Linked DNA regions of Arabidopsis thaliana. The protein of the gene in region 2 interacts with the protein of the main gene of each other region in a pairwise test. Each region holds a gene or a part of one and is shown on either strand. Other genes may lie near its edges.

Region 1 (4,995 bases), on a different chromosome or scaffold from region 2:
TTTGATTCATATCCAAGCCGCTGCAGAAGACTGAGCCAGGAAACTGCCTCGAAAATTCTGCTATCAAGTGATCTTCATGTCTCTTGTAATTTTTGAGTGTATCAGCTAGCATCACAGCATTGATTTCCCATGGAAGCCTGAGAAGAATGTATAAGTAAGCTGGTAACCAAGATGCTTCAAGACTCGGCAATGAGATAAAATGCATACACAAAGAGTATTGGTAAATCTTGTGAGCAGAGCCTAACCCTAAAGACATAGCTGCAACTCCTAAACCCACAGCAGTTGTTCCAGTACCAGCATCCACTACAAATTTAACCGGCCTCTTCTTCCCGAGTAAATGATCCTGTGACAAATGCTGCACTAACCGAAACATACCTGCGGAATAACAAAGTCCTTGTTAACTATAATGCATAAACAATAATCTTGGTCAATTCTTCCACATTGATCTGGTCCACTACCTAAACTAGATATCAAAAATCAATCTTTACCAAGTAATGCAAGAGCATCTCCTGCGCCTTCATTAACGATCAAAACCTTTCTACGAGAAGTTTTCATACTCGAAAAATCATCCATTTTTGCAACATTCATAGTGTCACGTCCCTCAACAATGTCTTTAGCCCATAAGACAGTACCATCTTCCCCAGCAACAAGATCCGCATAAGTTCTTAGCATTTCCTCTCTATTCGCATACCTCGATCTTGGAACATACTGAACATTTCCATACATAGTTGAAACAAGGTTATAACCAGTCAAAACATCAGGCTGTTCTCCACGCAGTAGCAAATGTGATCTTAGACCTCTCTCAGCACAAGAAACAGCTGCAAGATATACAAATAACTGATTCAAATTGCAATCAAAAGTCAATACCATTTCTTCTCTAAAGATTCAAACTTTTACCAACAGCAGCTGTATGTGCACTTTGACAACCTCCACATGTAACCTACACACAAGAAAAAAACTTCTAAACTTTAAGCCATTTCCAAAAAAAAACCCAGTTGAGAGATATTATAAGTGATCACATTCTCACCAAATCAGTCACTTTATGATCTTCAACAAGTGGTAACAAAGCATCAAGCTTTCTAGCTTTGTTACCATTCACAAGAGGATGTAAAAGATCATCTCTAAGAATGTAAAAAGAAGATCCTTGCTTCGACTTCGACATTTCATCTCCGAGATGTGGACGAGTGTTGTTCAAGAAGGAGAATTTATCGATTCCTTTGACAGAAGAAACACTAATCTGCTGAATTGGAGATGCAGGACACTGTAATCCCCATTTTCTATCGAGTAATTTAGACACAAACTCTCGTGAATCGATCTCGGAAGTAATGGGAATTCTCTGAAATTGATTAAGACATTATCCCCAAAACGCAATGAAATCAGAAAAAGTTCAGATTTTTTTCTGCAATTGCAAATGGGTATTCTTAGAAGTGACAAAAGGAACGATTTTTAATTGATTTAGATGACGCAGAGAAGAGAAAAGAGAACCTGAGAAGACGAGTGAAAGTGATGAAGATTTGATTTTCCGGTCACCGCCAAAAAAGTTGACCGTTGGACCTTCATTGACGCTTCTCTCTGCAAAATTTCTTCTATTCCGGAGCTAGCGGAGAAGATATGGAGGTTTTTAGACGTGAAAAACACGCGCTTACTCACACGTTGATGGGCTAGGCCCTGTGAGAAAATACGGCCCATATATTGTGGGCTATTTTTGTAAATTTATGAGATGCAGAAATATATTAACCCCACAAATAAAAAACTTTCTTTATATTAGTATATTAAATATGTATCATCCCAATATAATCAATGTTACATCGAAGAAGGGATCGTCAAAATACATCTAAAACAAGAAAATATTACAAACATTTTTATTACAATAGTAATAAGTTCGCGCGCCGATCACAACTCTAGAAAAAGAAGAGCGATCCAGCAACTGCACCAACAACAGAGACAAAGCCAAAAGCTACGGTGGCATCGCTTCCGGAAGCTTCTTTTTGTGGTGGAGGATAGTTAGCGTACGAAGCATCGCTTCCAATAGGTCCGGCGACTGCCACTTCATCATCTCCATTGGCATCATCGGGAGTAACAGCTGCATCGTCGTTGTCAGTTGTTCCAATAGCATTGTCATCAGCTGGACCCTCTGCTATATCACCTCCAATGCCATCGGTTGGAGTTGTAGCGGTGGGAGCTGAGGCGGTGGTGGTTGACGGTGGTTTTTCGTTCTCAGCAGCTGATACGATCACGGCGGAGATAGCGACGAAGAGGAGGAGGAGAGCTAGGTGAAGACGCGCCATTATTTTTTAATTTAGTTATTTAGTAATCCCCAAAAAACTTTTTTTTTTTGAAAAATGTTTTATGGGTATTTTGTTTTATTTATTTATCTTGAATTGTGTAATGAGGGTCTTTGCTTATATAGTTGTTTGATCAAAGTGCTAAGATGACTCAACGCAATTTGAGGTTTTGCCAAAAATATTAAAGGTTGAGGAAAAAATTGCAAATTACATATTATCTTCTACTCCTAATTAAGCTTTTTCTAAATTCTAATCTTATCAAATATAGCAAAAACAATTTGAGAAATAGGATTTTAGATTTTTCTTCGATAGAATATTAGTACTCTAACTAGATTTTGACCCGCGGTATACCGCGGGGCTAGGTTTTTAATAAAATTTGTTATATAAAATGTATATGTAGATATTTGTTTTATTAATATTGTTTGCTTTATTTAGTGTTTAAGATAATATATATATAGATTTTAATTGTCATATCTAGGATTTCATCCGTAGTATATCGTTTCGTATTATTATCGATCAAAACCCGTCATACCATCTAATCATGCACAATGAAATTAAACATATCTAATGGATTTCACTTGTGGTATACCGTCTCGTAATACTATCGACCAAACCCGTCCTACCACTAACCCTGTTCAGTAAAATTAGACATTATTTTGTTATTTTTGTTTTAATAATACTTTAATTTAAAAAATATTTAATTCAAATCAATTTAGAAGTTTTCTTTCAAATATTTATTTAATTGTTATAAAGTTTATATATTATAATATTATAAACATGTCATACCATCTAGTCCTACTATCTAATCATGTTCGGTGAAATTATTTTATTTTATTTTTTTATTAATATTTTTATTAAAAGATTTATAATTTAAATCAATTTAAAGTTTTCTTTCAAATAATTATTTAATTTTTAAATATTTTAACCATTTTGGCAAAAATAACTAGGCCATGGAATAAGAGCATATTCTTTTGAATAAGATTTGCTTTTATTTGATAGTTAATTTTCGCATTGAATAAGCCAGTGGTAACCATTGTAAATAAGTTCCAACTCCATGATTTATTGATGTATATATAAATGTAAATCACAAAATGGCTGCAAAAATGTATATATAGATGTAAACCCAACAAATATGAAAACAGAAAATAAAATAAAAATTTGGTAGAAATTGAATCTGACAATAATTTGATTTAATGAAATTATTTGATAATTATTAACAACATAACCTAAAACTTAACCAATGAACAATTAGAATAATCTAAAAACCCTATACAATGAAATGTTAAAGACAAGTTTATGTTATTCCCCTTTTTGTACAAGCTTCCAAGTCTTATGAACATAAAAAGCAAACGCAAATTTTCTTGCGTTTTTGTTTCCTTGATGTCAAACGTAGTTTCTTACCAACCAAACCACATAAGTCAGCTAGCTAGCTGAGATCGATATCCACTTTTTCCGGTACACACCTTTCTTTTTGGTTCTTACCAAGCTCTGTTCCAAGCTGACCCTGATCGCCTGCACCAAACGCGAATAGCTTCCCCGATTCCGTGAGCGCAAATGTATGAGCGTTCCAGTATATGGAGTTCGTTAGACTTATCTGGACCATCCGCTCGTTCACTTGTTTTAGCGATGTTACTACCGTTGGACTTAGCACGTTTGCATGTCGATTACCCTGCAACAAAAAATCAAACCAGACATACGACTAAACATAAGTTTAGAACATATAATGTAAGCAAAAGAAACAATGGAGGCCATGGCCAATCACTAACCTGTTCATCAAAGGATGGATGGTGACCGAGACTAGCGGATTCGCCGCAGCCAAACGAGTAAACATCACCATCGTCTGAGACCACAAAAGTAGTGTAGTCTCCTGTTGCGACATGAACTGCTTTGACATGGCTTAGACCTTCAACAACCTTAGGGACTGATTCACACTCCTCGTTACCGTGACCTAAACATCCATATCTTCCCCAACCCCAAGTGCACACTCTTCCATCCTGACCTACCACCGCGGCATGCCAAGCACCCGCTGCAACTACCCTAGGTTGAAGATTCAATATCTGAAACTGCTCGATGACCCGAGGATACTTCTCATCTGTTCTTGACCCATGACCAAGTTTGCCTCCCAAACCGCAACCAACTGAGTAAACAGACCTAAAATAAGCATGCTACAGAGTCAGTGCTGCTGTTGGACATTTGCATAGTGTTCTATTGCACATGACCCATAGAAACATAGCAAAAAATTTAGGATCCAAATTATTTTTGTCAAAAGAGTTTAACCATACAAATATGACTACATTTGTTGTAACCTATAATATTGTTGAACTGGTCTAAAGTAGAAAAGAAAGTGTAAAAAAGGAACTCACATGCCATTTGGTTGACAGGCTAAGGCAAGAAGGTAGCAATAACCAGCAGCAATCTGCACAACGGGTACATTCTCGAGTGGGCCTAACAAAGGACGAGGCTCGACATCCGCAGCCTCAGTTTGGTGTCCTAGTCTACCGTCATTGCCCCACGAGAATGTATAAACCTTTCCTTCTCGGGAGAGAACAGCGGTAAAGTAATTCCCAATAGCTGCTTGCACTACAAATATGTTTTTTAAAGATGTTACAAGCTGAGGAGTTGTAACTGGTTTAGTCCCTTGCCCTCCGTATTCAGCTTCCCCGAAGGATTCTTTTCCACACGCATAAACTTTTCCGTCATCGCTTATTAG
Region 2 (6,271 bases):
TCAAAGATATGATAATTAGCCTGTGAATCTCTCAGCATTTTAGTATAGTAGCTTTGGTTTCTCAAGTCGCTGCATTGTTTGGTATGAGGGAAAATGAATGCACTTTTTTTATGCTACTAACTGAGATTTCTCTCCAGGGATCGATAGTGTTGGAACTGTTCCAGCTTCTCTCATAACTTTTGCTTCCATCCAAGCATTAAAACCTGACATCATAATCAATGCCGGAACCTGCGGTGGCTTCAAGGTACAGTTCTTTTACTTCTCGTGTGCTCTGTCTTGACTTCCAGCATCCTTGCTAAGAACCACGTCCTCTCTTCTTTCTTTACTTGTGGTTTGGGTTTGATTTTGTTACTGCTCGTTTACTCAACTCTGAGATTTGAGTTGCATCATAAAAGATCTCTCTCTCTCTCCATATCTCTATTTTTATGTTGTGAAAGTTGGTTTATTTTCATGTAATGAAAGTGCTGATTGGCTGAACATTTGCAGGTCAAAGGAGCCAACATAGGCGATGTATTCCTTGTATCTGATGTTGTGTTTCATGATAGAAGAATACCAATTCCGGTAGGTTCATCTTCCTTTCTTTCTTTTTTCCATCTTTAGTGATGATTCCCTTTTTGCCAGTTCATCTTGCAAGTTCCTGAGCAATGTTTGTTTATCTCTCTAGATGTTTGATCTGTATGGAGTTGGTCTCCGTCAGGCATTCTCGACACCCAATCTCCTCAAGGAACTCAATTTGAAGGTATTTAATAGACTCAAGATGCTACTTACTCTTTTAACTATTTCAATTTTGACAAAATTGGGGTGGTTCAGATTGGCAGGTTATCTACTGGTGACTCGTTGGATATGTCCACGCAAGATGAAACATTGATCATTGCCAATGATGCTACGCTAAAGGACATGGAGGTAGTGTAATGTTAACAATTCTTATTACTGAATCTAACCAGAAAATCAATGAAACTGTTGTTTTGAAACTCTTTTGGCTCTGGATTCTTCAGGGTGCTGCCGTGGCGTATGTGGCTGATCTTCTGAAAATACCAGTCGTGTTCCTCAAAGCCGTGACCGATCTAGTGGACGGAGATAAACCTACAGCAGAAGAGTTCTTGCAGAACTTGACAGTTGTGACCGCTGCATTAGAGGGAACTGCTACTAAAGTGATCAACTTCATCAATGGGAGAAACCTTTCGGACCTTTAACTTCTGTTCTCTTCCTTTTTTATGGAGAGTGATTTTTTAAAATGCGTTCAACGTGCTTGTTGCAGTTTCACTGATTTCCAGTGATCATATTTCTCGTTAATAAATTTCAAGTTATAAGACGTTCTCTCCCTAGTGTTGCTTAAATTTTGGTAAAGAAACAATTTCAAAGATAACTTATCGACCTGAAAGACGTTAAATCCCTTGATAGGCAAAATATACAACACTGTAAAATTAATTCGTAACCGAGACACTTGGTGAAACCTCAAGACACATAAACGATGAAATCAGAGGTAAAGAAAAATTGAGCTATCTTTCCCAATTAGAATTTCCGTCAAGCTCATCGCAGGACATCGTTGGGGTATTTCTATCTTTTGAACTTATACTACTCCAGACGGTAGCCGGAGAACAAGCTGGCCTCCGAAAACGCTGTAAAGAAAAATGTTGAAACTTTTGAGATATATACAAAGAGCTAAATAGCTAAACTGTTGAAGTGAAGGACTAATGCGTACCTTTTGACGTAGTAGTAACAGAAATCTGCCAAGATGAAAGTTTGAACAATTTCTGAGATCAGAACCATTGATGGCCACAATCCATAACCCAATGCTACAAGCAACCGTCCCCGCGTGTCCACAACCTATTTTCAGCACATTAGACAATGTATTCAGCTATTCAAAATCGACTTTTAAGGTACTAATCCAATCGAGTATAGGAATCACCACTATTGGTATAACCTCTATCCACTCTTGAAGATCAAAACTAACCTGTAAAACCCAGTGGGCACAGCTGAGGAACCTTGCTACTCCAAGTGCAAAAACATAATGAGCCGTGAACGGTTCAACAATCTGAAAACCAAATAGACGCGGATTAGAGAGTAAAACAAATGTAGTTCTCTACTTGACATTGTGAAATAAAGTAGTGACCTTTGTGTTCTGCATCACTCGTAGCTGAGGTAGTACTGAAACAGCTTCAAGGTATACACATAAAGCCCATGAAATTCTGTTTATTATGTTATGAGAGGTCGATGGATGGATGAACACAGCTAATGCAACACAGGGCGCAAGCTGCAAAAATTGAAATCAGATCATTGTCACTGTAAATGATAACAAACAACTCGAGGATCAAAACCAGATTGACTTACCACATAATAGAGAGGAAAGTTGTCTTTGTCCTCCATGTAACTAGCTCTTAACTTGAAACGAATCATAAATATAACCCAGAGAGTTGTTCCCAAAGTAGCCAAGTCAAGAATGGTATGTATATCATATTCCATTACAATGCTACAATACAGCCTAACAGCTAAAAATATCGCCGTAAGCTCCTGAGATTTCAGTGACAATCCTGCAAAATCATTCACAAAGTTATATAAACACATCGAAGGTAAACACTTTCGATTTAAAAAAAGAACCATAGAATGCATCTTAAACCCTAAATTGCCAATTGAATCCTTGATTATAAAGATGATGATTCTACGAATTACGGCTAAAGGCTGCTTCCGGGAGCAGATAATAGTGGTAAACCAATGAAATCCTGATCAAAGCTCGAAAATTTGGACGCGATTATGAGGAAAAACAAAAAAGTTGTGACGTTGAAAAGTAATTTTGCTAAGAACAGAGGAATACATACGATCAGAAGCTGATAAGGCAGGACTGAGTTGAAAAACCCTAAAAATGGATGTGATAAAGACAAGACACATAGAATAGTACCGGCACAGGTCTTCTCCTTCATGAGTTTGTAGATGAGCACACAGATCCCGATGGAATGAACAGCCTCAGCGGCAACGAAGAGATTGTCGTGATCGTGAACAATGAATCTGAGAAGAACCAAAGCCGCCATGCCAGTGACCACGGCGAGAAAAGCCTTCACCTTCGGAGGTTGTCTCCTAACCCATGACCACACCACGTGGATCGGAGTCTTCGTCGTCGCCTTCATGTTTTGCTTTTTTTCGCTTTTCTTCTTCTTCTGTCTCTGATTTTCTCGGCAAAAGTGAAAAAGGTAACTTCTGATCGAGAGAGATTAAAAAGTCTGGTTTTGGTTGACTTGAATGTAAATTACCAAATCACCCCTTCCACACATCTCTTACTCTTAAATACTAAATGAGCCGTGACTGAATCCATAAATTAGGCCCATAATCGTATCTATTGTTTTTCTAAAAGGCCCATGAATGCCTTCGTATATATATGTTCGTTCGGTTAATCGTCTTTCTTACCAACCTCACCCGACGACGGTGATTTTAGGGATTTTCGTGTTCGTCAAGGCTCGCACTGAGGTTTTAGGGTTTTGCTCCTCGGCGATTTTGCTGGGCCTTTGGATTTGAAATCTGAAGCTATGTGGAACATTGATGGTACGTCCTTAGCTCCTCCTGGTACCGACGGTTCGAGGATGCAGACACCTTCACATCCCGCTGATCATCCTTCTTACACGGCGCCTTCTAATCGGAATACTCCGACGGTTCCTACTCCCGAGGATGCAGAGGCGAAGCTTGAGAAGAAGGCGAGAACATGGATGCAGCTAAATTCCAAACGGTACGGCGACAAGAGGAAGTTTGGGTTCGTGGAAACTCAGAAGGAGGACATGCCACCTGAGCACGTTAGGAAAATCATCAGGCGAGTTTCTAATTTTTCAATTTCGATTTCGAAATCCAGTTGACTGGGAAACGAATCTGGTCCAATTTCTTTGTATTATTAGGTTTGGGTTAAGTTAGATTGAAACTGACTCTGCGTTTTGATTCAGGGATCATGGTGATATGTCATCAAAGAAACATCGACTTGATAAACGTGTATATCTTGGAGCACTTAAGTTCGTTCCTCACGCAGTTTTCAAGCTCCTGGAGAATATGCCTATGCCCTGGGAACAGGTAATTATTCACTTAGTGATCTATATCTCGCTTTAGTTGTTCTCCTGCTCTGCTCAAAATTTTGAACTCAGATATTTTCCAGGTCCGGGACGTGAAGGTCTTGTACCACATCACTGGAGCTATTACATTTGTGAACGAAGTACGATGGGTTGTGGAACCTATTTACATGGCTCAGGTGGGTGAATAATCTCCCTCTCTCTTCTTTTGTGTCTGTGCATTTGTGAATTTGTGAGACATGTTTTCTAGTGATGATTCTTTCGTTTGCAGTGGGGTTCTATGTGGATAATGATGAGAAGGGAGAAGAGGGATCGTCGTCATTTCAAGAGAATGCGGTTTCCACCATTTGATGATGAGGAGCCCCCTCTAGACTATGCTGATAACCTGTTGGACGTTGATCCTCTAGAGGCAATTCAGTTGGAGCTAGATGAAGAAGAAGATTCTGCTGTGTACTCTTGGTTTTACGACCACAAGCCACTTGTAAAAACAAAAATGATCAATGGTCCAAGTTACCAGACGTGGAATCTCTCACTTCCAATTATGTCAACCCTTCACAGGCTTGCAGCCCAGTTGTTGTCTGATTTGGTTGATCGCAACTACTTCTACTTGTTTGACATGCCATCATTCTTTACTGCAAAGGCACTGAACATGTGCATACCAGGTAACGCTATACTCTATGTTCTCCTGTTCTGATATCTTCGTTTTCACAGTTGTTGTCCTTCTGTTCTCTTTCCCTGATTCAATTTGGTACTCTTTTTCAGGCGGTCCTAAGTTTGAGCCTTTGCATCGTGATATGGAGAAAGGAGATGAAGACTGGAATGAATTTAATGACATCAACAAGCTTATAATTCGATCCCCTCTGCGAACTGAGTACAAAGTAGCTTTCCCACATCTGTACAATAATAGGCCCAGGAAAGTAAAACTCTGTGTCTATCACACTCCTATGGTTATGTACATAAAGACTGAGGATCCTGACCTTCCTGCCTTTTATTATGATCCATTAATTCACCCCATAAGTAACTCTAATAACACTAATAAAGAACAGCGCAAAAGTAATGGTTATGATGATGATGGGGATGACTTTGTGTTACCAGAAGGACTGGAACCTTTGCTAAATAACTCGCCACTCTACACTGACACTACAGCTCCTGGCATTTCATTGTTGTTTGCCCCTCGGCCTTTCAATATGAGGTCTGGGAGGACTCGGCGGGCTGAAGATATACCCCTTGTTGCAGAGTGGTTTAAGGAGCACTGGTAAGCTAATTTTTCTGATGCTACTGTGGTTCTCTTTCCCCTTTTGAAATTTACTAGACATTGTATTAACTTCTTAGTTATCTCATTTTCTGCAGTCCTCCAGCATATCCTGTCAAAGTTCGGGTTAGTTACCAGAAGCTTTTGAAATGTTATCTACTGAATGAGCTGCACCATAGACCCCCTAAGGCTCAGAAGAAGAAGCATTTGTTTCGATCTCTTGCAGCTACAAAGTTTTTTCAGAGCACCGAACTGGATTGGGTTGAAGTGGGTCTGCAAGTCTGCCGGCAGGGGTATAATATGCTGAACCTGTTGATTCACAGGAAGAATTTGAACTACCTGCACCTTGATTATAACTTCAACCTCAAGCCTGTGAAAACTCTGACAACCAAGGAACGAAAGAAGTCGCGTTTTGGAAATGCTTTCCATCTCTGCCGTGAGATCCTCCGGCTGACAAAACTTGTAGTTGATGCAAATGTCCAGTTCCGACTTGGTAATGTTGATGCCTTTCAATTGGCTGATGGCCTGCAATATATTTTCTCCCATGTTGGGCAATTGACAGGTATGTATCGTTATAAGTACAGGCTTATGAGACAAATCAGGATGTGCAAGGATTTGAAACACTTGATCTATTACCGTTTCAATACTGGTCCTGTGGGTAAAGGACCAGGGTGTGGATTTTGGGCTCCAATGTGGAGGGTATGGTTGTTTTTCCTTCGCGGAATAGTTCCTCTTCTAGAACGATGGTTAGGGAATCTGCTTGCACGTCAATTTGAGGGGCGTCACTCAAAGGGAGTGGCCAAAACAGTCACAAAACAGAGAGTTGAAAGCCATTTTGATTTGGAGCTTCGAGCTGCTGTCATGCATGATGTTGTTGATGCAATGCCAGGTTCGCTTCTTGCGTCTATAACTGATTTGTTTTTCTCAAGGTCGATTTCCTTTAATTTTATCTCTTCCTTGTTGGTTTATACTGTCT

The links. Proteins that work in one complex are often made in the same cells at the same time.
Region 1: the proteins of AT4G38790 (region 2) and AT3G26110 interact in a protein complementation assay, tested with the Arabidopsis thaliana proteins (one large-scale study listed by BioGRID).

The regions. Positions count from the first base shown.
Region 1 is NC_003074.8:9,538,866-9,543,860, reverse strand, and holds AT3G26110 (Anther-specific protein agp1-like protein), read right to left. Parts: upstream 2,379-4,995; 5' UTR 2,289-2,378; coding exon 1,902-2,288; 3' UTR 1,697-1,901; downstream 1-1,696. Other genes in the region: AT3G26115 (Pyridoxal-5'-phosphate-dependent enzyme family protein), read right to left, coding at 1-137, 246-375, 489-818, 898-940, 1,028-1,336, 1,486-1,560; AT3G26100 (Regulator of chromosome condensation (RCC1) family protein), read right to left, coding at 3,712-3,954, 4,052-4,436, 4,649-4,995.
Region 2 is NC_003075.7:18,108,277-18,114,547, reverse strand, and holds AT4G38790 (ER lumen protein retaining receptor family protein), read right to left. Parts: upstream 3,213-6,271; 5' UTR 3,123-3,212; coding exon 2,897-3,122; intron 2,532-2,896; coding exon 2,332-2,531; intron 2,255-2,331; coding exon 2,114-2,254; intron 2,036-2,113; coding exon 1,955-2,035; intron 1,828-1,954; coding exon 1,703-1,827; intron 1,620-1,702; coding exon 1,571-1,619; 3' UTR 1,342-1,570; downstream 1-1,341. Other genes in the region: MTN1 (methylthioadenosine nucleosidase 1), read left to right, coding at 138-244, 487-561, 665-739, 811-903, 996-1,193; AT4G38781 (uncharacterized protein), read left to right, coding at 3,355-3,507; AT4G38780 (pre-mRNA-processing-splicing factor-like protein), read left to right, coding at 3,519-3,715, 3,924-4,047, 4,130-4,222, 4,315-4,705, 4,806-5,298, 5,394-6,184.